4 linked regions of the Lytechinus pictus genome follow. The protein of the gene in region 2 interacts with the protein of the main gene of each other region in a biochemical or structural test. Links are inferred from orthologs where the notes say so. Each region holds a gene or a part of one and is shown on either strand. Other genes may lie near its edges. The genes, in order: ran-specific GTPase-activating protein-like, exportin-1-like, double-stranded RNA-specific adenosine deaminase-like and ran-binding protein 3-like.

What was found.
Region 1: the proteins of exportin-1-like (region 2) and ran-specific GTPase-activating protein-like form a complex in vitro, tested with the Homo sapiens proteins (3 studies listed by BioGRID, with this or other methods). The link is inferred for Lytechinus pictus from reciprocal best matches to the Homo sapiens genes XPO1 and RANBP1.
Region 3: the proteins of exportin-1-like (region 2) and double-stranded RNA-specific adenosine deaminase-like form a complex in vitro, tested with the Homo sapiens proteins (2 studies listed by BioGRID, with this or other methods). The link is inferred for Lytechinus pictus from reciprocal best matches to the Homo sapiens genes XPO1 and ADAR.
Region 4: the proteins of exportin-1-like (region 2) and ran-binding protein 3-like form a complex in vitro, tested with the Homo sapiens proteins (2 studies listed by BioGRID). The link is inferred for Lytechinus pictus from reciprocal best matches to the Homo sapiens genes XPO1 and RANBP3.

The regions. Positions count from the first base shown.
Region 1 is NC_087246.1:7,323,211-7,330,123, forward strand, and holds the start of ran-specific GTPase-activating protein-like, read left to right. Parts: upstream 1-3,910; 5' UTR 3,911-4,125; coding exon 4,126-4,134; intron 4,135-6,913. UniProt on the Homo sapiens protein: Plays a role in RAN-dependent nucleocytoplasmic transport. Alleviates the TNPO1-dependent inhibition of RAN GTPase activity and mediates the dissociation of RAN from proteins involved in transport into the nucleus.
Region 2 is NC_087251.1:44,096,801-44,104,152, reverse strand, and holds the start of exportin-1-like, read right to left. Parts: upstream 3,004-7,352; 5' UTR 2,469-3,003; intron 1-2,468. UniProt on the Homo sapiens protein: Mediates the nuclear export of cellular proteins (cargos) bearing a leucine-rich nuclear export signal (NES) and of RNAs.
Region 3 is NC_087250.1:3,399,723-3,407,185, forward strand, and holds the start of double-stranded RNA-specific adenosine deaminase-like, read right to left. Parts: upstream 3,010-7,463; 5' UTR 2,994-3,009; coding exon 1,437-2,993; intron 1,038-1,436; coding exon 760-1,037; intron 1-759. UniProt on the Homo sapiens protein: Catalyzes the hydrolytic deamination of adenosine to inosine in double-stranded RNA (dsRNA) referred to as A-to-I RNA editing.
Region 4 is NC_087255.1:28,227,738-28,235,099, reverse strand, and holds the start of ran-binding protein 3-like, read left to right. Parts: upstream 1-4,338; 5' UTR 4,339-4,418; coding exon 4,419-4,455; intron 4,456-7,362. UniProt on the Homo sapiens protein: Acts as a cofactor for XPO1/CRM1-mediated nuclear export, perhaps as export complex scaffolding protein. Bound to XPO1/CRM1, stabilizes the XPO1/CRM1-cargo interaction. In the absence of Ran-bound GTP prevents binding of XPO1/CRM1 to the nuclear pore complex.

The sequences.
Region 1 (6,913 bases), on a different chromosome or scaffold from region 2:
TATAGACCTTACAGTTTGAGACTAGTGGAGTGTTACATGAAAGGACTTGTCAGATGTTTTATCTGACAAAGTGTGTTTCTCAGCCAATCAAAATCAAGGATATTTGTCTGATAAATGTTGATGAAATGCTCTCCTGAATTCTTCATGTTGTTGATGAGGCCTATGTATTTGATTTATTTTTTTATTGAAATATTTCTTAGAAATTTCTGTTGAATACACCTTTTGTAAGTGAAATTGATGAAAAATAATTAAGAGAATCAGGGTCTCAGTTTTATAATTATGAGGGGAGCAATAAAAAGCTCTTCTAAAAGTTTTAAGGGGAGCGGTAGAGGAGCACTGCAAAAAGCTCTTCTTTGACTAACAAGGGGATTTTTTTTGTCTGAAATTAAAAAGTGGATGGAGGAACATACACTTAGTTGCAAACCACAACTTAGGAAACAAACAATCAGATGTATAGGCAACATTGATCTCAATGAACTTTTTGTTGTCATTTTTGCAATGTGTGTTATTGCCTTTTTGTATGTCTTCTAATTTGACTTAGAATGAGGTTTTCAAGCTTGGCTCTTAACAGTTCAATCATTGACTGACACTCTTATTCTATTTTCAGGCTAAGTGATGTCAGAACAGAGTCATATGGAAATAAAATGTAGAAACAATTTTTAATTGTGTATGATGTTGCCTGTTTTCAAATTTTTCTGCATTTATCATTTCATATCACAAAAAAAAAAAAAATTCGCTGAGGTGAGCAATAAATCGCTCTACCTGAAATGGTTTAAGGCAAGCAGTAGCGAGTGATCACTCTCCCCTGTAAACTTAATTTTAGTCCCTGGAGAATCACAGTTGTCAAAATGTGATGAACTTTATAATGTTACTAGAAAATTTATATTTGCTAGAATTGACTTGTAAACTGGTAAACTTAATGAGATGGAAGGGAGCTGTGAAAACTTACAACTATGATGAGTTTATCAAAATGGTGTAAAAAATGTTATGCAACGTTGTTTACTATATGAACCGTAGGCCTACAATAGGTGTTTAACAGTATAAACAACCATGCTTTATTTATTGAGAATTACATATTAAAAATTGAACTTTGTTGTGTAAGATTTTAAACACTTTTAAACAGGGGAGTGATATTCAAAGATGAAGTCGAGGAAGATCATAAGGAAGAGGGTGGCCAGGAAGAGAGACTGAGAGAGAGAGGGGAAAAGGGGGGTGTAAAATAACAAAATAGAAGAAGGAAGAGTGGTGATGGTGAGAGGAGGAAGGAGATTTGAGGCAAGGGGGGGGGGGGTTGTAACACTGAGGAGGAAGGAAAATAGAGGAGAATGACAGGTGAGAGAGATAAGGAGATACTGAGTTAAATGAATAAGAAAATGGGTTGAGATGGTAAAAATAAGAAGTTTTTCTCTCCTCTGATTTAAAAATGAGGTAGAAATTCACTTTGAAGAGTAGAGTCGTCATTGTAAATATTAAGCTAAAATCAAGAACTTCTTTATCATTCTCAACAAAAATAGTATGAAAATTGTAAGCTATAGTTACATCATTGCTCTCGCATTTGCGTAGACCTATAACCCATTTACTTTTCTGAAAGTAAAGTTTTATAATGTCACATCTATCTTATTTTCCATCCGATCTTGATTAAATTTTCAATGTTATGCCACTTTTACTTGTCTTTATTAGGTCCATGATTATAGAGGTGGGTCTGAAAATAAAGTGTGATAAAAATGAAAGGACTGGCGCCCCGCAGTCTGCAAATCAGTCTCTGGAGCCACTGCCCTAGACGCAAGTCCCGATGTCTATTTATATCACCCCCGGCAGCAATTTCTTTTTGTTCATCAGTAGGCCTATTTGTCAGGGTTTTTTTCATAAATATTTGAGGCGACACGAAACAGGATATTTGGTAATTTCAGCTCGATCGGTGTGGCTCTCCGTTTTTTTTCGTGCAGGGGTCGGTGGTCAGGGGGGGCAAGAGCAAAAAATTTCCCGGTCATATGGTATGAACAGGTGTTAATGAGGCGACGATTTTGAGAGGGCCAGATATTGCATATCGGGCAGAATTTATCTTTTAAAAAAAAGTTGCGAGCGAGCAAAATATCTGACATTTTTAATACAAAAATCCAATTTTGTGATAGATTTTGACATGATATCCAGAAAATGATATCACTCTTCTCTCTTTCCATTCCTTTTTTGTGGTCTGTTCGCCACTGTGAGCAGGATTCTTTGCGGCAGTAGCGTGAAGAGTAAAAAAAAAACGAAGGGCGCAGTATGGTGCATGTGCTAAAAAGCTGCTTGATACAAGTCCCGAGCGAGCAAAGCGACCGAGAAAAAAAATCACCTTTTTATTAGAATCTAGTAACTTTGAGATATTTTTGTTGACATTATATTCAGCAAATAAATCATATCCTACACTCTTCCTTTGCTTTTCTTTCCTCTTTTTTTTTGTTCTTAGTTGTAGATTTTTTGGGGCCATATGGCCCAACCCTTCCATACTCATATACAGAAGTCCTATGCGGTTGGGGTCTGGGATGGGGCCCCCGGAACTTTTTGATATCAATGCCATTAAACACTCGCAGATCGCCGCTATTTTTAATCAAATCTCGGATAAATGCAGAATATAGCTTTTACACAACACATTTATTCAACCCAGTTGCGTAATGAACCAAATATTTTGAGGGGGCAAAACAGCTAGCAATGTGGGAAATTTGTTTTTAAAAAATCGCCAGCAAGTAAAGCGAGCTGGAAAAAAAATTGCCTATCAAATTCTAATTATGTGATAGATTTTTCCATTATATTCAGCAAATAACACATTTTATTGTTTCCATTCATTTCATTTTATCTCCTATAATTTCTTTTATTTCCTCTTGGGTGTGGAACCAAGACCCCCCCCCCCCCGCCTGTACGCCAGTGATTGAACGTAAAGCTAAATGTAGGAAGGGTCCCTATTACAGGGGCGCCTAGAGCCATTTAAAGGTTATAGATGAAGAGCCCCTAAAAGCCGGCCCGGTAGCTTATTTGCATAAAATTTATCAAGCTTATAGCACAATGTTGAATGCTCTCCATCTTTCTTCCCGCTCTTTATTTTCTTGTCCCTTTTCTTTGTTTTTCAATTTAGCTTTTGACTAAGATCCATTCAACCTTCATTTCCTGCTATTGTTTGCCATTTTGTCATATTTTAGTTTATTTCCCATCATGCTATTGCATTACATAGGCCTATTTCGGAATGATTTGTTCTTTCTCAAATGCTCTTCTTTCGTTCCTTTTCCCGCTTTCCATCCTTTTCCATTAAAAAATTCTTCGTTTTCTTTTCACTTTTCCCTTTCCTTTTCCTTCTTTCCTTTTTAATTCCCCTTTCCTTCCCCTTTCTCTTTTTTTTTCTCCCTCCCTTTTCTCTTTTTCCCCGTTTTTTATTTTCCCGGTGAAATCCGCCAGGTGGCAGGGCGGGGGGGGGGGGGGGGGGGGCTGTTACGCCACTGTCCACTAGCTTGTTCTTATTTGATTGTATGAAGCAAGGTTTATTCAAAGATTCTACCAAGAACTAAAACAATTGGATCGACAACTGATTAAGTGCATTATTAGTTATTTATTGCCGCAACTTATTTCATCATAATGGAGACGCATCATGTACTCGTATGAAAAAATGAAACATTTATGATTTCATGTAATAACATAATAAAATTAGGGAAAGTGGAAATGTGACATCATCAGCCCACCTAATGAATTTTCATGACGATGTGCATATCCCTGTTTTCACAAAATATTGATAAACTTTAAAATGCAATAACTATGTTATTTGTTATCCGTTTTGACGAAAATTTCAGTATTTTGCTCTGTGAATTTTACTTTATTTATTTTAATATAAATGTCTTCAGCCCGGACCATCCCTTTGACCAGCGCGCGCTTTAGCTGGGGTGGGATGAATGCGCTGTATAATTCATAATAGACAGTAACTCGTGATTCTCATACTGAACTCGTTAGGATATAGGGTATGGTTCCGGAATTACTGTCTATTATTTATTTCTATTGCACAAAATACGTTCATCGTACGTAAATACCTAAATTGCAAAATTTCATTCATTCGTATAACTGTCCGATTCTTTGTGCATCCGCCGACATCCACCTAACGAAATGGCAGATGTGAGTTTTTGATTTGTTAGAATGTGTCTTAATGTGTAAGATGTGATTTTCAAATGAACTTTGTCACGATTCGACATTTCTTATCCGTAAACCGCATAGATTTTCACATGTTGTGTTGCGTGAACTGAATGAGTCCTTCGTGCAGCTGTACTGTCTGTAGCCGTCATAACTGAGTGAGCCTAACATGACTAACGTTAGCTCCTAACATTAGATGAGCATCTAACTAACTTATTATGGAAAAGAGATTTATTATATCGGCTTGTCCACAGACATGAGTGAAGAAATTGAAATAGAATATTTAGGTGATCTGTCATTCCTGTCAATCGACAGGACAGATCAACTACACTATTTCGTACAAATTAGGCCTAGGGCTAGGGCCTAATTATTTAGGCCTAAATCAAAATATTTAATTTATTTATATTTTTCCACCCTTGTCCCACTCACGCGTATTGCAAGGTTAGTAGTATACTAACCTCGCACCATGAACCGCGTTTGGCAGTGGATTTCTAAATTCTAACTAGTGGGTCGCGCGTGCTGGGATCTCACTTCTGCCTGGACCTGGTGTCCACAACACACGACTTCTAGTTCTATGGCTTGATTTTTTTGTGCGCGGCTGCATGTAATGAACCCTTTGGACTTTGGTGCCCTTGTCCCACCAAAATCTGGGCCTAACTTACATCTTCAATTTTTCTCAAAATATCAGTTATGGGGACATGTCAGCCGTCTGTTTCGAGGAGATTTTTTAACATTTTAAATTTTTTAAAATTTCTCCTCGTACACAGACGTAGCCTGGAGGCGTCTTGGGGAGTAAAAGTAATAATACTCTATCACTCATGTATGGTCACTCCCGAGCTCCCCGAACGCCTGGCGTTTGTACATAGGCTCCCATGCACCAAACAGTACTAGTAGAGGCGCACGGCCAATATTGGAGACTGTCTCCAAAATGGGAGATTATCTCCAATATCAGAGACTTTTGTAAAGAATTTGGGTATCCAATTTCAGAGACAGTCTCCAGTTTTGGAGTCCAATTTCCTTTGTTTACATTTGCTGCAAAAGGATTAACTTGGCGGCAAATAAAAATATGATAAGCAGATTCCTCATGAAAAATTACCCCTTTTCACAGTCTACTTTAAAAATTCACCGTCTACTTTTGTTTTGATAAGGATTTTTGTTGTCAATCACACACAAAACAAATGGGCTTCTGACCTCAGTGAGACAAAATTTTGGGTGGAAAAAATCATGCTTTTGTTGGTGTTGTTTCTTTTGTCCTTTTGCAAAGCAAGTCTCCAATGTGGGAGATTGTCTCCCCTATTGGAGAGAGTCTCCCATATTGGCCGTGCGCCTCTACTGCCAAAGAAAAAGGCAACTATAAAAATGCGCCAAACTGCTAGTTATGTTTAGAATCTGAGGTTAACAGTAATGTTGTAAATCGGATCAAAAATCAGATCGAAAATCGGATCGGCAGTTAAGCTTCTAAAATCGAAATCGAATCGAAAATCGAATCGGCGATGTTTAAAAACAAAGGAATACATCAAAATGTTGTTCGCGGTCGCGCGCATCTTCCTGACAAAGTCACAAAGACGAATGCATTGGAATGGAAGTCGCCAACATGCGCGATCGTTTGGAACATGTTTTAAAGCCAGGGGTTTTGAGGTGTTATTGCTTTAAAATAAACCGAGTGATTTTTATTAGAAAGATAAACGAAAGACGCATCTTCCGAGCAAAGGCGCAAAGGAAAATAAAATGAAAATATTCATCATAGATCACAGGTTAATGAACGATCGGCGGGACATCTTTTAGAAGTATTTTTAGGTGCTAGCGATTTAGAATTATTGGAATGATCTCTTACGACGCATCATCTTAAAGTCGCAAGTGCAATTAAAATGAAGTAGAAGACGCAAGCACGCAAGATGATTTGAAATATGTTATTAAAATGTTTTGGGTAGCTAGCGTTTTCAAATCAATTTGAAGTTCACGGCGGGGTCCGCTATCACCACGAGGTTGAAGAGAAGATGTCTATCATCATAAAGGGGGTAAGAGAGTAGCGCAGTGAGCTCCGTCGGTAATACGACCTTTCAAAATTCACGGCGGCATCCGCTATCACCACGAGGTTAAAAATAATGTTGTAAATCGGATCAAAAATCAGATCGAAAATCGGATCGGCAGTTAAGCTTCTAAAATCGAAATCGAATCGAAAATCGAATCGGTATGTTTAAAAACAAAGGAATACATCAAAATGTTGTTCGCGGTCGCGCGCATCTTCCTGACAAAGTCACAAAGACGAATGCATTGGAATGGAAGTCGCCAACATGCGCGATCGTTTGGAACATGTTTTAAAGCCAGGGGTTTTGAGGTGTTATAGCTTTAAAATAAACCGAGTGATTTTTATTAGAAAGATAAACGAAAGACGCATCTTCCGAGCAAAGGCGCAAAGGAAAATAAAATGAAAATATTTCTCATAGATCACAGGTTAATGAACGATCGGCGGGACATCTTTTAGAAGTATTTTTAGGTGCTAGCGATTTAGAATTATTGGAATGATCTCTTACGACGCATCATCTTAAAGTCGCAAGTGCAATTAAAATGAAGTAGAAGACGCAAGCACGCACGATGATTTGAAATATGTTATTAAAATGTTTTGGGTAGCTAGCGTTTTCAAATCAATTTGAAGTTCACGGCGGGGTCCGCTATCACCACGAGGTTGAAGAGAAGATTTATATCATTATAAAGGGGGTAAGAGAGTAGCGCAGTGAGCTCCGTCGGTAATACGACCTTTCAA
Region 2 (7,352 bases):
GTTCTTTAAAATTCCATCATAATTTCCAGTTGATATATAATATATTCTTGAGTAGTGTGCCCCAAATGTCAGAAAAATTTCAAATATGATTTTCTTGAAAAACCTCAGCCAATCATTTTCAGATTAAAGAATCCTCAGCCAAACATTTTCAAACTGAACAAAAAAATAGAGCCAAAATTTTATAAGCACACATTCACTTTTCACATGATTCAAGGATTTTGTTGAGAATGGCTGCTTTCGACTGAAATGCCTGAAATACAATATTTTCCCATTTCTTTAGTCAGATTTTTTTTAATGAATAGGTCTAACATTAGAGTATCAGTCTACATATTCAGGGGTGTGAGTAGTCACAAATAAAAAGATCTGAAAAAAGCTGAAGAGTGATGAAAAAGTCTGAAATAGGAAGAGCTCTCATATTTTTGAACAGAAGAAAGCCAAAAATAAGCTGAAAAAAAAAAATCTGATATCAGCTAAAAAACTTTTGGTTGTCTATTTCAATCCTTATCAAAATAACAGCAAATCCAACTCCAAGCGAAGCAATGTCTGACTGGGAACTTGAATGATGTCGAGATCGAAGCCGAAATACAGCCGTTCCTGATTGCGATGTTCGGAAAAGTGGTGGGTAGTCTATCTTGGCCTTGAAATATGATTGAGACTTGCTATTAACTTTTGCAAACAACCATTGGTGGGGAAATTCTCTCGAAATCGGCTGGTGCGAAACTGCAAATTAGTACCTTGGCTTTAATTTTAATTAAGCTCAAATGCAGACATGCCTTCCCCTTCCCCCCAAAAAAACAACATAACCCCTGACCTTGAAGGCCTAGCCTAAAAACTCAGAAAACATCCCCCCCTTTTTAGTTTTATGATGGGGGGACCTAAAGCTAAGCACTTTGTTTTCAAACGATAAAAACAGGGGCCGCGGAAGCGGGGGGCTTCAGCCCCCCCCCCCCCACTTTTTTCCAAAACCGTGTACAAAAACGTAAAAATTACCATATGATTGTGATTTTTTTGCATGGTCAGCCCCCCCACTTCGAAAACCGTTCCGTGGCCCCTGAAAAACTATGCCAATTTTAATTATTGAACAAATTATCTTTCACTAATTTGTGGCAAATATAAATCATTAGCCAAAAAGAAAATATTGCAAAACTCACGTAATACGTAAATTCCAGTGTTTTTTTAACACCTCTTGATTCCGATGTCGAAGGGGTCCTAAAGCTACGCACTCGATTTATCATGCAAAAAATAGCATTTTTCCTGTGCCTCAATTTCTAAAATATGTTCACATTATTATAGGATAAAATGAAATTAAAGCGAATATAACTCCAAAATTCCAAACAGTTGTGACTTGTGGGTTTTCGCTGCATTTTAATTAGAGATTTACTGCAGCTTCTGTAGTAACAATTGAATAGGAATCGAATCGTTCGTCACTGGCCACACACAGAGTGCACATTTGCCATTAAAAACTGCATGCGCGATGAGTGGTGCGTAGCTTTAGGACCCGCGTAGCATCAATTAAGTTAGGTCCCCTTACCATACATTTAAAAAACTCAGATTTCAAAATCAAAATGAATCATATTTTTCTGATTAACAAAATTATGTTAAAATGGTAAACTGTGCAAATTCAGAATTTCAGGTCTTGATCTGGACCTAGAATAGATCTACATCTACTGATCTAGACCAAAAGCTTCGGTCTCTGTTATTGTTCCGCTGAACTCCGTTGGCTCCACTCACCAAAATACAGAGACCGAAGTTCTAGCTCGATCTGTACAGGGGACTCAATGGCCGTATCAAGTTCGGATAAAACAGGGAAGTGAAGTTGCGCGACAGCCGAAGTAAGTCACTGTTTTTTCCCCTTTTAAGTTTATTTTTCCCCGTTTTGGTGCATTTCACTTTTCAGGCCAAAACGGAATAGGAATCATGATAATAATCTTTCTTTTTTTTGGTACAGTTCTCTTTAAATATTTTTATGAAATAAAGACAAAAATCGAAGAGCCCCGACGGGGGAATTTGCATTTTAAGTCCCCTACCCTAATGAGTAATGGTGGCTGCACGATAGCGAGCCGTCTGTGTACGAGGAGAAATTTAAAAAATTTGAAATTTAAAAATCAATAAAGAACTCCTCGAAACAGACGGCTGCCAGCTGTCTCTACAATTTTTACAATTTTTTTACAATCATAACCACCCGGCACCCCGGCCTTTACTAGTTTTCATCGGGTCCAGGCCCTAGGCCTAGCATAGTACTTCATCAGCTAGCAACAAGCAGCATGGCCCCAGGCTTAATTAAAATGAGCACCACCGTCGAAGGGGCGGCGCCGAAGCTCCTTGGGCTTGGGTTAGCTGAGTGAGAGCTCAGCTGATCGCTGATTCGAACGATGCCAGCTGGAGCTGGCTCGCTGGGCTGTACACTCACTCGGCAAGACCCTAGCATGCATGGACCAATGAGAATGCGGCCTCTCTGCTTTACTTACTTGCTATGATAGCTCTCCGCTGCTGGCCGTCGTCCGCCGAGACGAGTACAGAACCCACGTGAACTATCTGCTCTGTAAATTGCTAACCTGGATACCACACGACGCTTACATTAAAGCATTCGTGAATCAAGCTTTCATTTCATTAATTGTCTATATTATCTGGCAATTCGAGGATGTTTCAGCCATTTAAAATTAAGATATTTCAGAGTAAATCCAGCTTCGATCTCCATCCGACGAATTCGGCGTCTCGAGTGATGGAAATTTTTGGCGAATAAAAACCGGTCAAAACCAGTTCGGCGCAGCAGCAGCTAGCTGTCGTATACGCGAGTAGTATCTCTGCACACTGCGAAAATCATATCCATCAAAATATTCAGTGATACATTATCACACTTATAATTCACAATCATATAATGAACTGAAGATACAAATTGTTTAATGTTTATGTGCAGTAATGAGCTTCTTAATCAACACGATGTAATGTGGAGCGAAGGGTCAAGTTTGTTATTTCGCATTACATATTTGGAAGAGCAGAGAGGAATATATATATTCGCGGGCGCTTTTCGAGTTGCGATATATACAGATAGAGCGAGGTAGAGGGCGCAGCTTCAGAATTCACATGCAAAACAGTATACAGTTCTAAAATATGATTGGTTGACAGCTGGGTACCATGCCCGTTACCTGTTTATTGTTATCATTATGTTAAATTTGTATATGGTTGTATTATATTGGTCGCTCAATGATGGAGTATTTCGGGCTGAAATAATGATACCCAAACAAGCAGAGTAAAAATTCACTAACCACAACGCTTCTCTATTACAAAACAACAAAGTTGAATTTCAAAGTTTAGCAATACTGTATATTAGGCCTATTGTGAAATAAGACCATGCCCCATGGGGCCCCCATATGCAAATAATCGAACATGCAAGATAGTGCCAATGCTTTCCTTTTTCGTATAATGCTATTCACATTTTCATATAGTGTACTCGAATTGTCTCCCTTGTATCATGATCAGTTGCAGCAATAATTTTCTTTAATATTAATTCAGTTTAGTCAATCTTACCGTACCCTGCGGAGGAGAAATTATTTAATCAAATACTAAAGATTAAGTGGGGATATGACACCGATCAGCTTGCTCATTGCACTAGCCTAGTCGATCTGCCGAGACGCCAAAGTCTTAGCTCTATCATGTCCAAACACAGGGGCGGAAATCTCTCCCAAAAGGTAGGGGGGACACAGGGGCGGATCCAACCTTCGCCAATAGGGGGGGGGGGCGGCGGAAATTTGTTTCAGCCATAATTTCCCCGATTTTTTTTTTTTGAAGGGGTAGTCCTCATTAGTCACTTCTTAGCTTTATTCTTATAAATTTATATGTAATATCATAATCCTTATTTATATTATGCGAGCGCGAAGCGCAAGCAATTTTTTGATTTTTTTTTTTGTATTTTTTCCTAAAATTTGAACATTCTGGGCAATGTTTGTTATCCTGAAAAATGATGTGTACGCAACTTAATAATTACTACGAACGCAAAGCGCGAGTACATGCAAATGAACTGATGGAAAAAATACCTGTTAAAGTAGCATTTAACTATCAAATAATGCGAGCGCGAAGCGTGAGCAATTTTTTGTTGACTTTTTCACCTAAAGAATGGAAATTCTAAGCACTTTTTGTAACTCAAGCAGAATAGGTAATTAAGTAAACAATTGATGAAAGAAAATTTTTATATACGTTTTGAACTGGTACCTGTTGAAAAGGTAACTGTTAAGGACTGCTTGCACTTAGCCATGAAGGCGTTACATATTTCAACAATAGAAAACTGCGAATGCGAAGCGCGAGCTGAAAATTTTTGAACTTTCTAGAGAAAGAATGGAAAATTTTAATCATTTTTGTAATCGTGAACAGGATAGCTATATAATTTAATAATTGATGAGAGCGGGAAGTGCGAGCAGAAAAAAAATCGAGATTTAGACCTAAAAATGGGCCACTCTGTTCATGTTTTGTAAATCATGAAAAGGATGAGTAATATGGGGTCTTCCTATACAATAATGCGAGCACGGCGAGCAGAACAATTTTGATATTGCGATCTGAAACTGGATAATGATTTAAATAGAGAACAAGTTGAGTATCTGAATTAACATGTGCGCGCGTGTTTCATATTTAGACCTAGAATCTATAGGCATTCTATATACATCTTTAATCATGAAAATCATGAAACTTTGATATTCCGATCTGAAAAAAGAGTCAATTTCAGCTTTATATTTCAAGCACTTTGTAGAAGCACTTTGTGGATATGGATCGCACTTAAAAAAGAGCTGATATTTTCATTATTATTACTCTGAGCTTTGACATAGGACCGGGACATCCTTACGACATGTCATCATATGAAAATGATGACTATCTTCCTATTCCTCTTGCTAAGCGAGATGAAACAAAAGGGACAATTTGATTATTCAATTAATATCATATTTATTAATGCCTAATAAGCACTGACGTAAATCCGTGTTGATGGGTGGGGGGGATGACTGAAATATTTTGGCTTTTTTTTTTTTGCAATCATGTTTTTAGATATGCAAGGAATTGTCATTGATATGTCCACACTGACAGTGGAGTACCGTGGGTCACGGTATTGGGGGGGGGGGGGGGGGCACCAGCAAAATTTTTGAATGACTGAGTGAGTGACCTAATAGAGACATTTTAAGGACAATGTCATTAAACGGATATGTATCTCACTGATCAAATGATGAGAGCGCGAAGCGCGAGCTGAAATTTTTTTATATTCAGATCAGAAGAAGTTACATTTTAAGGACCGATTTTAGGAATTCATGAAGAGCAGACATATCTCACCAATCCACTAATGCGAACGTAATCACGGACAGGAAATGTTTCATATATACGAAGACCTTAACATGGGGCAATCACTTTTGAGTCATGAAAATGAAGCATATGTCACTACATAAAACAATGATAACTCAAGTGCTAGGAAATATATTTGGTTTATATTGACTTGAAAACGGGATGTTTTAGTACAACAGGATTATATATCTCGTTAAACAGACAATGCGAGCACCAGGAACAATGAAGACGTAGGCCCTGGGCAAATTATGTTTCATAAAGTTATGATAAAAATGTTTCTTATGTAATGTAACTTAACATAATTATAATATAACATTATAATGAATAATATTTTCTTCTTTCCCACTACTTTTCTCTTCCTTTCTCCCTCTTTTCTCCTTTCCCCCCTTTCCCCGTTTTTTTTTGGTCAGCCGATGTGGGGGGGGGGGGGTGTGCCCCCCATGTCCCCCGTAGTTACGCCACTGTATGTCCATATGGCAAATACCCCTCCGATATTATTATCTTTTTTACCCCATGATGGTTTAATGGTTTTATTAGAGATTACATTTTAAAAAATTTTGACATTCTATCTTAATCCCTTCCCAAAGACCCCAACATTGATGAATTGGAAGAAACGGGGGTTTCTCTTCAATGTTATAATAAGGACATAAGTATTTTGTTTGGAAATGGTGAACTGGCTCTTTATTTGCATTTTATGATTCAATAATATTATTTTATTTGATAAGCGGTATTTTTGGAAGAATTTTCACCAATAAAACAATTATCTCTTGTGATTTTTTTTTTCATTTCTTTCGTAAAAAGTGGGGGGATGTTTGTACAGGCCACCCCCCCCCCTCCTGCTAATAAGGGCGCGAAATCTGATATTATGGCATAAAAACTGGACATTTTACTTTTGTAATTATGAATAGGATGCATCAGTTTATATATTTTTAACCATTAATGCGAGCGCAAATCGCGAGCTAAAATTTTTGATAAACTGTCATGAAAAGGGGATTTTATGTAGTTTGTTGTACAATCAATATTGAAACATATATAACTCGCCAATCAAAATGCGAGCGTGCAGCGCGCTAGCTGATATTTTTACGTCTCAACAATCAGACCTGAAAAGGGATATTTTGAAAACTTCATGAAAAATAATAGGTACCTGAAAAATCATAATTTGCGAGCACGCAGCGCAAGCAGCAAATGTTCATATTCAGACCATAAAACTGACATTTTTACAGAGCACTTTTTAAAAATCAATTTGTAAATCACACAAAATAATGAAGTTCGATTTCCGAGGTGAAATATGTTTTGTATATTGACTTCTAAACTTGACATTCGAGCTCCATATTGAACAAGATATGTAAGTCATCTAACAGGCAATGCGAGCGCGAAGCGCGAGCGAAAATTTTATATAGTGGCACGAAAGATTATTTTTATTTTCCAAGTCTTCCTCTCATTTTATTTTATGCACTCGTCGTCCTTCTTTTCTTTTTCTCCTCTCTTTTCCCTCTATTCCTTCTTTCTTTCCCTTTTTTTCTTTTTTTTGCTCCGCCAAGAGGGGGGGGGGGGGGGGTGGACCCCTCGGCCCCCTGGTCCGCCTACGGGGACAAGGGGCGGGAAAATTTGACAAGCAAAAAAAGGTTATCATCCCAAAAGTAAGGTCATCTCGTCCCAAAATACATGTTTTATTTCGCTTTAGAATGATGTATTTCTTACCATCATAAAAAACCAAAAATAGTAGGGGGACATTTGATATTGTGTCCCCCCTACTATTTTGAGTAGGGGGGACACGTCTCCCCTGTCCCCCTGGGATTTCCGCCCATGTCCAAACATGATATGAAGGCCTGGATTGAAGGTTTTAAGGCACTTCTATAGCAACAAGATTTTAAAGACCGAGTTACTAATTTTAGTGGTCTTGAAATATTTGAAATTAGCATCAGTACGTCAAGTCGTCAACCGATATGACACTGAGAATAATGCCCGGGGAATAATGCTTAAAGGACTAGTCCACCCCAACAAAAAGTGGATTTGAATATAAAGAGAAAAAT
Region 3 (7,463 bases), on a different chromosome or scaffold from region 2:
GCTAGGCATACTACATATACATAGGCTTTCGAATCCTATCGGGTACCCATTTAACTCCTGGGTGGAGAGTGGCAAATTGTGGATTGACGCCTTGCCAAAGGACGCTACATGTAGGCCATGGTGGGATTCAAACACATTATGATTAGCTGCTGAACCCTGTTACCAGACAAGTTGCCATTATGGCAAAGAGTTGTAACCCTTTATAACAAAATAATAATATAGGATTTGTATAGCGCACATATCCACCTTGCTAGGTGCTCAAGGCGCTCCTATATTACCCTATTATGTGACCCATCTCATTATCTCTGACAGTAAAAGTTCAAAATATCCGCTCATAGGAAATTTAAGAAATCATTCATAACTGAATGGGAATAATTTCTGAAATAGTTCATTAAATCAAATATATTCGTCTGGGGCCACAATCCCATAGCAAAGGGGTGTCGGAGGGTTCATTCGAATCTGTTAAAATTTCCAAAGCAAGAAAATCCAGGGAGGAAAACAGTTTTTTGGGGATCAAGCCAAGAGATTGGACCGTTAACCCTTTTTTTTGCTTGTCAAATTTTTCAGAAATCGATCATGCCCCTCACTGAAAACTCTAGCTACGGGGCTGGGCCATTTTTAGTGTTCCCAGACAGTAAGTGGGTCTGATATCCACACTGCTCCACAATCCCTCTCCAGTATGTAACTTGCAAATCCTACGCCCATCTTTATCCCCATGCACCCCTACCGATTTATGCTGTTACCCCTTCCAGTACTCACCTTGGATTATGCGGTGGTCCAGACTGCTGAAGAAGATCTATTGAAACCGGTAGATGCCTGGCCTGGGCATACTCCGTCAACGCACTCACAGGGTTCTTATTGATAGCAGCAAACATCTCGTTGTTGATTGCCTGACCTGTCGACGACCCGATGGCTGGTGCATTGTGGGAAGACTGTGGCTGGGGAGCTGGCGATGCTGGGATAGGGGTGCTGTTGACTTGGTTTGCAAAGGAATTCGGGGGCATGTAAGGCATGGTGGTAGCTCGGATGGGGGCAACCTGTGTAAAATGAAAGGTTTTTTTTATTCAAATGAATTTACTTTTCCTGAATTATACAGTATACCTTGTGAGCATAAGATATTTACATGTTGGATCTGAAATATTACATGTATGTTCTCCTAAAGAATAACTGACCATGATTCAATAGTTAATCGCTCATCCCATTGAATATACATTTGTGAAAACAAAAGATGGAAAGGCTGGAAATCATGCCCTAATTTGATCGCAAGTCTCTTGCAATGCACCATACCTCATACTTTAATAGATAAAACACCCAATCTTTAAGAGGAAGTACTGTAGGAATGGGCCCATTGCAGACAAAGTTGCCCTTGATATTTTTACAGTTGCATTTAGATGCAACTCTTTCTGCAACTTGCCAAGGATAGGAATGGTACATACCTGAGTAGGAATGGTTGGTGTAAAAGATACTGGGATAAAGCCAGGACCTTGTCTTCCTTGATCCCAACTCTGCAGAAGAGACCGAGGATCAGGAGGAAGCATGCCACTCTGATGGTTCGGCGCCCCCATTGGCTGTGACATGAGAACTCCGGGTGCCCCTGTCACCAGGTTGACATGGTTTGGAATCTCCATCGGTTTGGTGGCGCCGTTCATTTCTAATGGCTTTTTCTCCTTGGTGATGAGGTCGACGCCTTTCTCGTTGATGTGCCAGGTTGGAGGACTGTCCGTGACTTTAGTGATGTATCCCCGTTTGGCAAGCCCATAGAGCGAAGGATTCACATCTTTGGCCTTGCCTCTGTTGAGACCTACATTATGGACTATCTCAAGAGTTCCTTGAGTCTGTTGATTGCTCAATGCACACAAAACCTTCATCTCCATGTCCGGAGAGGCAAACATTAACGTGGCAAATTCTGGCGGTATCCCGGCATTGATTGCTGCTTGGAGATTGACTCTTTCATTATGGATGGACTGTCTGTCGTCGTTGGTATTAAGGAGTGGTTGAGGACTCTGAGGGATGTGCGGGAATGGATGTCCAGGAGTTCCCTGGAACTGCTCCATCTGTGGTCCCATGTTTACCATCTGAGGAGCAATGCCTGGCACGGGAGGACTCACCATCCCTGGAAACTGACTCGGTTTTGGTTGTGCCTGTTCTGCACTTTGCTGCTGCTGCTGATCAGTCTCGAGAATCTGTCTCCCGTACTGGGTGATGACCCACATAGGGGGAGACTCACACACTTTTCTTACAAGTCCTTTCTTTTGCATACTAAACAAAGTTGGGTTGATCTCCTTCTTGGTGCGGTAACCAAGCTGTTTGGCAAGATCATTGGAATGGATAGATTCTACTTTTTCGTTCAATGCCACCAGTAACCTGTGGTCCATGCCATTTGGCGTGTATGGCTTTGAGAAGCTTTGTTGCAGTTCGTGTGGTGGAGGTGGTGGTTTTGCAAACATGACAGGTTGCTCGGCTGTTTCTGAATCATCGCTCGAGCTGGAATTGTTGGTTGGCGAAGCCATGGGGTCAACGCCGGGCAGAGGATGTGTCCCGTTGTACCCGGAGTGATTCGGAGGGAAAAGCCGACCTGCGTCTATGGGTGTGGAATGATTAACAGGACGACCCAAAGGCTCTGCGGCAGGAACGTCACCTCCGCTCCCTTCCTCCATGACTTCCGTTTCCCCGACATCCTCTCTGTCGATCCCACCGCTGCCACCAGAAAGGGCTTCCTCCCCCGTTTCTTCCGCCTCCTGCCGATTGTCCCCATCCTCTGCGGTCGCACCATGCAGAGGGCCAACAGTCACCTCGTGTTTTAAGCCCCATTTTGGAGGTGACGCGGACACCTTCAAGATAAGGCCGTTCTTTTGCATCCGGTACAGCGTCGGGTTAACGTCCTTGCGAGAACGCCTTCCCAGCGATCGAGCCAATTCAAGAGTTTCCATGGAACCATTGCTTTCTTTTAATTTATTGAGGATGCTGTTGGCCAGTTCTGTATTTGAGCCCATTTTTCGCTTAGAAGAACCCTGTAAGACACACACAAAAAAAATGTATGAATAAATAAACAAAACCCTTATTCTCCCAAACAGTGATTAATGCTAAAGAATATATGAATCATATAGTTATCATTTAACATACATTCAAACAAAAATTAATATGCAACTATTTTTCCTACAACAGGATTTTTTAATCTAATTGGTTCTTTTTTTATTGTTCCCAAAAGTTGATACATGTTTAACGAATAAAATATTTTAACATTAAGCTTGTTGATATAAATGCATGAGTATCATATCGAATTGGCCAATCTATTTCATCATACATGAACTGTGAATAAAATAATGTTGCTGAGCCATTTCTCAGCAACGTATATATCTAAATAATACTAGGAGTCAAAACCAACTGATACATCATATAGATTTGGTACATGACTGTCAAGATGAATCACATGAATAATACATGAAATGGAAAGCATGCACTCAGAAATGAATTCAGATGTAAGTAGGAGTGTCTACTGGGCTACTGAAGAGCGTATGTATGAAACCATAATGAATACACACAAGAGTAGCTTGCCTAGAAAACACAGTGCCTGAAACATAGTGCGATAGCATCATCCCTACTTCCAATTTCTGACATGGATTAAGCTTTCATTGTTTAGAAATTAGATGTCAATGAAAATCCCTAAAATTGTTAATTCAATTTTGCCAATTTTGAGGAGATATGGAAACATCCAGTGAATGATCGCATAGACATGCTTGTGATTTCTAATGTTTGTCAGAGGGGCCATTAATAGATTTCAATTTAAAATGACCAGATTTATGTTTAAAAAAAATCATTTAATTATAGTTAAAATTACAGGAACTCTTGTCATTTTAAGAATAATCTTAAATCATTATTATAAATCAGAAATATATCAAGAGTCTCTCTGACATGATATCAAAATTTCAACAACATTTTTTAAATGTCTATAAAATATTTTTTGAGAATAAAGTCCCCAAAATATATAAATACATGCTACTACAAGCTCAGTTAGAAAAAAGAAAACAACACACAGAACTCAGATTAGGAACAAACATTTCAACAAATATTTCAAAATAAGTTAGTGATGTGATGGTGGTGGTTTAGTGAAAACAAATCAAAAAACATTTTTTGAGATATTGTTAATGACGATATGAAGTAAATGGACACTTCCTTCAGCAAACAAGTTCAAGTGAAACCAGGTCCCCATCTTACAAAGGATTATGATTGATCCAATCAATCGTAACTCTATGGAAATCCATCAGTGTCAAAATGTTTACTACATGAAATTTGCAAAATGACCTTTGTTAACAAAGGTGAACACACAAAATTGTCAAGAAAACAATGACTTTATGCAATATACAAACATCATATCTAGAAAATATTTTGAACAAAAATGGATTTCATTTTCAGATGTGGGCATTGCTGGCTTTCCATAGTTCAGGTTGATCATATCAATCGAAATTCGCAACTCTTTGGGGCCTTGGTCTACAAGAAGTCAGGCTACTTCTTAGTTTGTCTCATTTGGTCTATGATCACTTTGGTCTAGTTGCCACTTTGTCTAATAGGCCTAGTAGGCCTATTTGGGATTACTGTCAATGGCCCGTATTCTGAAGTCGGTTTAATTTATACTCATGTTTAAAGTTGTGGTTTAAGTATGGGAAGCCAAAAGTATCAAAATTTTTATTAAGATGTATGTGTCTTTTGTCTACTGTGCTCTTTCCGGATTCATCTTTGATGAAAACAATCATCTATTTATACTTCTTAGACAATTATGAATGATTTGAGAGCCAAATGAGCTGAAATATGATATCTCTACTGTTTATGATTTATGTAACAATTGGCTATCCATACTTAAACCACAACTTTAAACCTGAGTTTAATTTAAACCTGCTATCAGAATACGGGCCATTGAGTCTCATGTCCAGTTAGTCTAACTTCCACTTGGTCTACATTCTTTGCCACACTTTGTCAAATAAAAAAATGAGTTCATTACTACACAGTAAAAAAAAATCATACAACGCTGTTTACTATATGGACCTTACAGTAATTGTTTAAACAGTTTTAATAAACAAGTGTTTAAATCTTAAGCAACAAAGTTTAATTTTCAATATCTAATCTTCAATAAATTAAACATGTTTAAACGGTTAAACAAATACTGTAAGGTTCATATAGTAAACAGCGTTGTATAAAATCTTAAACAGCGTTTTTACTGTGTAATACATGTAGCTCATTATCAAAGAGACTATTAAAGTGGTGCTAGACCAGTGGGGGTGATGACACAACATGTGCTCCTGCAACAATTGCCCCAATCTTAATTATTATATCTCAAATGGCATAAGGTTAGGGTTTGGCTTGTAATAGAGTTTTGGGTTCAGAATAGTTTACCTGAAAAGAATTTGGGTGTATTGGATTTTGGAGGAATAGGTTTTATGTTTGGCTAAACATGAAGATTTTCCATCGGAGCGGTTCTCGCCAGAGCAAATGTCATGGAACCGTTAGACCATGTGAGTTTAATAGGCCTACATGTAAATGGAAATTAGGCAAAGTGTGAAACAGGCTACATGTATTAAAGTGGTAAATGGTTCATAGACAAACTGGTTGTAGATAAAATGGGAATTTAGAACATGTGGGATCAGACCAAAATAATGGAAAATGGACAAAGTGGGTTTTATGTAGGCAAAGTGCATGGCCATATACCAAGTGATGCAAAATTTTGAATGAGTGATTGAAGTGAGTAGAAGATGGCATGGGAAAGAGAGAGGCTGCATAGAGGCTTCAGTATTCTCATATTCACAATTAACAAGTGATGCAAATTTTGAATGAGTGATGGAAGTGAACAGAAGATGGCATGGGAGAGAGAGGCTGCATAGAGGCTTCAGTATTCTCATATTCACAATTAACAGAATGATGAATGCATGTACATCATGTACATGCGCACTAATCAACATCAACCCACACTCATTGGATCACTCAAGACCTTAATCTCATGTGCCATTTTCATTATAAAACACCCCATACCGCTCCAACACAAAGGACCATGGGAAGGACGCATATCTCCCCAACATCCACTCATCGCTGAGACACTGCATTGGGTTTTATTTCCTAGGGGGTCATAAACACATAGATTGAAATGGATGGGACTGAGGAAGGGACACTTGTCCTTTGGGGGCAATCATTCCAGTGACATCTGCACGAAAAGCTTGGCCAACAAAACATTGCTTGCACTGGCATGAATATTTCATCCCCTAACCAGGTGGAAATAAATAGGTCAATGCCAACTAAAATAGTGAAAGGGCGAGGCCATAAAGCAAACCATCCCTCTGGGCTTGATAAAAATGCACATAAAATTTGGATGTATAATACAATTGAAGTTGCTTAAATGCTTTGAATTTCAAGGAGATGGCATAGCAACGAAACATCCCTTGCCTGTACTAAAATGAACGTAAAGAAAAACAAAATGATCTATTTTGCTTCGAAGTTATTGAACCTTGTTCAAGAATGATAGATGTACTGAGCAATTTCAGGTTAGGCCTATACATACATGTACTGTATGTGTACATGCAGACTTGATGGCCTACTTCTCAGGGGCTGAAGTAACCAGTTAATTTAAAGTAACGCCAGTTTATTTCTATTTTCAAAGAGGCTAATTAGAAATATATACATTAATGTTCATTTGCTTTCGTTTTTCATTTTTTATTTATTCATAAATGAAGTTATTTCATATTTTATTATATTTGTTTTATTCATTTATCTATCAATATCTATCTATCTATCTATCTACATGTATCTATCTATCTATCTCTCTCTTTTATGGAGGTCGATTTATAAAAGAGTGCAAGCTAGGTCATATAGGATATATGCTTGCATCCTGTTGCCAGCAAAGCTCTCCTAAATAATGATTATGATGGCTGTCTACCTTATTTACTAGGAGTATTAGTGCACTGTACAGTTTATAGCCCATAGCATGCATGGGAGAGTTCTACAAAAAACCCACCTCCCCCCTTAAAAAAAAAACATTAAAAAAAATTGACAAAGGGGGGAAGGTGGCATAAGTGCATGAGAATACTGCAAATTTTCGACATTTCAACATACAGTAGTTTCAAATCTACTACAGATATTGATATTAGAAATGTGATCTTCCTTTCTTGAACATGCAAATTCATCGTCCAACTCCAAGGAGCTTTGCTATGCAAGACATACAATTAGGTCAATATTGCTTTTTTACCGTCACATATTTGATACCTCATAAAAGTTAGGAGATCAATCCACAGAGTAATACAGAGTTATAATCTAATTTAAAAAACAATAAATGATGTTAAAATGAACATATCATTGATCAATGCTAATATGCATTTTACTCTTCATACAAGATATGTCTCATCTATTTATCCATTTTCATGACTAACGATCAGAATAGCATAAATTGTGAATGCGTCTCCACTCTCCCGCCATAGTATGCA
Region 4 (7,362 bases), on a different chromosome or scaffold from region 2:
AGTCCTATATAATTTTTACTGAACGAGACACTCTATATATGTTTTGTAAATCCTGTTAAGGATGAGTATTAATAATGCGTTTTGAACTGGTACCTGTTGAAAAGGTACCTGTTAAGGACTGCTCGCATTTAGCCATGAAGGCGTTACATATTTCAACAATAAAAAAATGCGAGCGCGAAGCTCGAGCTGAAACATTTTGAACTTTCTAAAGAAAGAATGGAAAATTTTAATCAGTTTTTGTAATCGTGAACAGGATAGCTATATAAATTAACGATTGATGCGTGCGCCAAGCGCGAGCAGAATTTTTTTTCGAGATTTAGACCTAAAAATGTGCCAATCTGTTCATGTATTGTAAATCATCAAAAGGATGAGTAATATGGGGTCTTCCTACAATAATAATGCGAGCATAAAGCGCGAGCAGAAAATTTTTGATATTGTGATCTGAAATTGGATAATGATTTAAACTAGAGAACAAGTTGAGTATCTGAATAAACATGCGCGAGCGTGTTTCATATTTAGACCAAGAATCTAGGCATTCTAAATACAACTTTAATCATGAAAATCATGAAACTTTGATATTCCGATCTGAAAAAAGAGTCAATTTCAGCTTTATATTTCAAGTCCTTGTATAAAAATTGCAAGGTGGATATGGATCGCACTTTATAGAAAAGAGTTGATATTATTATTACTTTGAGTTTTGACATAGGACCGGGACATTCTTACGACATGTCATCATATGAAAATGATGACTATCTTCCTATTTCTCTTGCTAAGAGCGAGATGAAACAAAAGGGACAATTTAATTATTAAAATAATATATATTTATTAATGCCTTATGAGGGCGCGAAATCTGATGATATCATGGCATAAAAATTGGACATTTCACTTTTGTGATTATGAATAGGATGCATCAGTTAATATGTTTTTAACCATTAATGCGAGCGCAAATCGCGAGCTAAATTTTTTGATAAACTGTCATGAAAAGGGGATTTTAAGTAGTTTGTTGTATAATCAATATTGAAACATTTATATAACTCGCCAATCAGAATGCGAGCGTGCAGCGCGCTAGCTGATACGTCTTGAAAATCAGACCTGAAAAGGGATATTTTGAAAACTTTATGGAATACACGAAAACAATAGGTACCTGATAAATCAAAATTTGCGAGCGCGCAGCGCAAGCAGCAAATGTTAACATTCAGACCATAAAACTGACATTTTTACAGAGCACTTTTTAAAAACCAATTTGTAAATTACACAAAATAATGAAAGTTCGATTTCCGAGGTGAAATATGTTTTGTATATTGACTTCCAAACTTGATATTCGAACTCCATATTGACAAGATATGTAAATCACCTAACAGGCAATGCGAGCGCGAAGCGCGAGCGAAAATTTTAGATAGTGGCACGAAAGATTATTTTTATTTTCCAAGTCTTCCCCTCATCTTATTTTATGCACTCGTCGTCCTTCTTTTCTTTTTCTCCTCTCTTTTTCCCTCCTTTTATCCTTCTTTCTTTCCTTTTTTTTCTTTTTTTGCTCCGACAAGAGCGGGGGGGGGGGGGGGGCGGGCCCCTCGGCCCCTGGATCCGCCTATGGGGACAAGGGGCGGGAAAATTTGACAAGCAAAAAAAAGTTATCATCGCCAAAGTAAGGTCATATCTCGTCCCAAAATACATGTTTTATTTCGATTTAGAATGATGTATTTAGAATGATGTATTTCTTACCATCATAAAAGACCAAAAATAGTAGGGGGGACATTTGATATTGTGTTCCCCCTACTATTTTGAGTAGGGGGGACACGTCCCCCCTGTCCCCCCTGGGGTTTCCGCCCATGCCCACTATGACAAGCAAGAAAAAAAAATCCCTAATTTTAGCCGATGGATGTCATAGCCCTGGGAAACGGGGGTGCTGGGGTTGCTGCAGCAACCCCAAGATTTTGCTGGGGTGGGGGGGGGGGGGGGGGGAGGGACGTTGTTATTTACTATAGGCAGCACCCTGGAAATTAGAATTGTATGTTTAAATGTCTATGCTTTATACTGATTATAATATCAATGTGACGCAAGTGTGATTTCTAAGTGAAAATATGCTTTGTTTATTCACATATATTTCTTGAAAAAAAAAAGATTTTTTCTAAGATACATATCGGTTACCAAAATACGTTAAAATGTGCATTTTATTTTACTGTTCAGAAATTTCAAACTTTTATCTACAATAAGACCAATCTTGTGATGAATAACCAATTCTAAGAGCAAAAAACGATGATTGGAAATATCGTACTCAATGGGCTGCTGTCAGCTCAGCTGCTCACTGCTCTTTGTGTGACATTCAAATTCAAATTCAAATTTATTTATTTCACTTCCATCAATTGTACATACATGAATTGTATACCATATATAAACATAAATATTTGTATACGTTGCAAAAAAAGAAAATAATGATACATATGTTGTGAAAAAAAAAAAAACACTTAGACAATTTTGGCAACACATTGTAGGTTTTAAATAAGTATACTATTTTTCAATAGAAATTAAATTAAGATGGAAATGGAGGGACCCACTAAAAAGCAATGCTTGTACAATGTGGGCCCCTCAAAAAAATAGATAACACAACAAATAACAAAATAACAAAATAGCAAAGTATAAATACAGATAATCAAATGAGAAAAAAATCAATAACTGAGAGGGAAATACTCACAAAATAAATACAAAGTTATCAAAAATATACAGTTAGATAAAGGACAAAACAACCCGTCCTAAAAATATCCACCCTTCCCCACATCACTCAACTGGAGCTCGCCGGAGGACCGATGAAGGCAGAAATAAACATATGGCATGAAAATAATTTGTTTATTTATTTATTTATTTATCATTATTATTATTATTATTTTTTTTTTTGGGGGGGGGGGGGGGGGTGGGTTGTCATTTTTTAAACGAAACCCGCCATAGTACCCCCTATTTTTAAACCGTTCCTAAGGCCACCGAGGGCTCTGTTAGTTTGTAATCGAGTGATGCATCCCTCGATCACCTCCTGGCTCCTATACAGCGTGTCTCTAAAAAAAGTAAACCCAACTTCAATGGCAAATTTTCAGAAAACTAAAAAATATTTACACATTATTTTTTCATGGTTAGATAGTCCAATAAGTCCTCTGTCCAATTATATCACTTAGGTTATCTAACTCTTATGCATGACTGAGCATGATTCAACTTAGTGAACTGGTGTCAAATCATCACTGTGGCAAGTTATTTCTTGCTATTGTCATGCATTCAAGGCCTATTTGAAGTTAAATTTTGGTCACATGTTAGGCCTATAATTTCATAACAACTTCAGCAGCAAAGGTTGTTCCTCACACAGGCACACTTCACATGCTTTCCAAACATGGTACAGTTGACAATTGAGCAGAGAGTATTCCTGGTAACTCAATACCAGGAAACAAGAAGTTTCGTGGAAGTTCAAGAGGCTTTTCGGGTGCAGTTCCCCGAGAGGCAGCCTCCAACAAAAGGGCCATCTGGTACAATGTGAGAAAGTATGCTGATCACGGAACCACTGAGTTTAACTTCAAATAGGCCTTGAATGCATGAAAATAACAAGAAATAACTTGCCACAGTGATGATTTGACACCAGTTCACTAAGTTGAATCATGCTCAGTCATGCATGAGAGTTAGATAACCTAAGTGATGTAATTGGACAGAAGACTTATTGGACTATCTAACCATGAAAAAATAATGTCTAAATATTTTTTAGTTTTCTGAAAATTTGCCGTTGAAGTTGGGTTTACTTTTTTTAGAGACACACTGTAGACAATACATTTACCCCCTTTTTAAAACCTTTTCCCCCTTCTCTTTATTCTTTACCATGTTACCTTTTCTATACACTTTCCTCCTTTTCTTTCCTCCCTTCTTCCTTCCTTCCTTCCTTTTTCTTTCTTTCTTTCTTTCTTTCTTTCTTTCTTTCTTTCTTTCTTTCTTTCTTTCTTTCTTTCTTTCTTTCTTTCTTTCTTTCTTTCTTTCTTTCTTTCTTTCTTTCTTTCTTTCTTTCTTTCTTTCTTTCTTTCTTTCTTTCTTTCTTTCTTTCTTTCTTTCTTTCTTTCTTTCTTTCTTTCTTTCTTTCTTTCTTTCTTTCTTTCTTTCTTTCTTTCTTTCTTTATAATTCTTTCTTTCTTTCTCTGGTATTCATAATTCATTCATCATTCATTCATTCATTCATTCATTCATTCATTCATAAACCCGGATAATATTACCCCCGTCCCTCTGATTGAATTTCCCTCCTTTTTTAAAAACTGAACAGACAACCCAAAGACGAGATCTGCAAAGATATATACCATGCCTCTACATCGGTAGTATCGAGCGCATTGAACGCAACGTTTACCACATTCCATGCAGTTTGTCTTCAAGAGCAAATCGTTTACCACTAGTAGTCCAATATGGCGGAATCGCAACCGGCTGCAACTGCTCCAGCAGGTTCGTGTAAACAATCAAATTGATATCTCTGTCATTGTGTTTGTGTGTTGTCTGGTCTGAATCATGATTAAATATATCTGTTCTGATTGGTGAGTTATGTTTCTGCCTAATATCAATGATTTGAATGGTCATTTTGAGTGCAAGAGAGTGTTTTGTTGAGTCTTGACTTGGGCCCGAAAATTCATTCTGGATGAGGCCATCCCGATTTTGGCATGTGTAGTTTCTTGCTCGTGCCTGTGAATTGGTGATTTCACGATTCCTTGTTGTCCTTGATGTGCATTCAATAAAATACTTAGCATGCAAAATCACTGGCTGCAGTTCATCAGTTGTGCTTCCCTCATAAAGTGTGAGTGGTTGGCTTTATTTTTTTAGAATTGGGTGTCCACATTTTTTATTAAACTTTCTAATGCAACGACTAACGTCAAACTTACGTTACAGCAGTAGAGGCGCACGGCCAATATGGCCTTATTGGAGACTCTCTCCAATAGGGGAGACAATCTCCCACATTGGAGACTTGCTTTGCAAAAGGACAAAAGAAACAACACCAACAAAAGCATGATTTTTTCCACCTAAATTTTGTCTCACTGAGGTCAGAAGCCCATTTGTTTTGTGTGTGATTGACAACAAAAATCCTTATCAAAACAAAAGTAGACGGTGAATTTTTAAAGTAGACGGTGAAAAGGGGTAATTTTTCATGAGGAATCTGCTTATCACATTTTTATTTGCCGCCAAGTTAATCCTTTTGCAGCAAATGTAAACAAAGGAAATTGGACTCCAAAACTGGAGACTGTCTCTGAAATTGGATACCCAAATTCTTTACAAAAGTCTCTGATATTGGAGATAATCTCCCACATTGGAGACAGTCTCCAATATTGGCCGTGCGCCTCTACTGTACAGCACTGTCAGCAGGGTGTTATTTGTTAACTACCTCAGGCGATGTTCGTGCAGGCTCCACTCCACTTCACTACTGCTACACTACGCTCCACCTACCCGAACATCGGGACAGTAAACTCGATCGGATATTCCGAGTCACAAAGGTGGGATGGCAATCATGGTTATCGTAAAAATTAAAGAAAAAAAATATAACGAGGGATAAGAATGACTTATAATATCTTACTCTACACCCGTATTTCACTCCGTGTCCATCCTCCGGTTATCCTCAAAATTGGTGATTTTGGGCCAGTATCTTTTTTCCTCACACGTATTATTCACGGCCGATTTCAAAACATCGCATGCGATCGCGATCGATCAGCGACCGATCGCATGCGATGTTTTGAAATCGGCCGTGAATAATACGTGTGAGGAAAAAGATACTAGCCCAAAATCACAAATTTTGAGGATAACCGGAGGACAACCATGGGTTCATATCATCTCGCGTGCGAAGGAATATTAGTCATATGCACGTGACACACACGACACATCCAAAATATACTGGGCTTTTGCCCACATAAAATATCACGCATAATCTGGTATTTCACATTCTGCTATGACACTTACCGAATCATTTAGAATTTTCTGTGACTTCTCCTTTAAGTTTCTTTTAAAAAATATGTATATTTTCTTGATCTTTAGTGAAGATTTCACGGAGATAAAAATTGGTCAGCGTGGATATCAATTTTCGCCTAAAGAGGGCGTGCGATTTATATTCATATCAAAGACACGACAAGGGAAAGACTAGGCACCTACACTATTTTACACGCAAATCGACGCAAGGCATTACGCGAAGTCCGTGAAGTGTCCAATCTTTTCATTGTATAGACTTTGGTATACTGTATTATTGACGTTCGTTAAAGCTTGTACTGCTGGTTTCGTTCCAGGCATGTGTATTTTTTCAATTTTTTTTATTAGTCATCGTTTTAAATTAATTGCAAAAAAGTGTTATCATCGCCAATAGTAATCTTGAATTATTTTTTTGAAGGTATTTCATTTATTGTTGCCCATAATTAGTAAATTAATCATAAGAATTGCGCATTCAAAGAATTTAGACACAGTTATAAAATTACCGAGGTGCTGAATCAAGGTTGTGAAATTTATTAGCGCCACCAACGGGCGAAGTCACTTGCTAGGCCGAGGTAAGCGAAATTTGCTCTTTTTGTAATGAAATTATTTCCAAATCATATGTATAATTTTTTCATGTATTGCTACTTACCGGAAAGAGCCCCGATGCGTAGCGAGAAGGAGTTTCCGCAAATATTACTTCAGCAATGAAGCGATGTTTGCCGACTACTTCGAAATCCAGGGTCAAACACGGTCCCTTGTACGAGGTTAGTAACCTCGTATTAGTGTGAGTGACCGGAGGATGGACACGGAGTGAAATACGGGTGTAGAGTAAGATATTAAGTCATTCTTATCCCTCGTTATATTATTTTTCTTTAATTTTTACGATAACCATGATTGCCATCCCACCTTTGTGACTCGGAATATCCGATCGAGTTTACTGTCCCGATGTTCGGGTAGGTGGAGCGCAGTGTAGCGGTAGAGAAGTGGAGTGGAGCCTACACGAACATCGCCTGAGGTAGGTGTTAACCACCCAAGGGTTCATTACATGCCGCCGCCGCGCATAGAAAAATCAAGCCATAGAAGTCGTGTGTTGTGGACACCAGAAGTGAGATCCCAGCACGCTCGACCCACTAGTTAGAAATCCACTGCCAAACGCAGTTCATGGTGCGAGGTTAGTATACTCATACTAACCTCGCAGTACGTGTGAGTGGGTGTTAACTGCTAGATTGTAAAAAAAAAAGAATTAGAATAGAAATTGATTATTAGAAATGGGTGAGCAAAAATAGCCATCAAGTTGGTTCATGGGGCTTTGCATCTGGGAGTTGTATTTACATGCCAAACAAGCTAGCCAAGGCTTCAAGGCAAAGCCAAAGGGGCAGTGCATGTCATTTCCTGTAGATTTTTTTT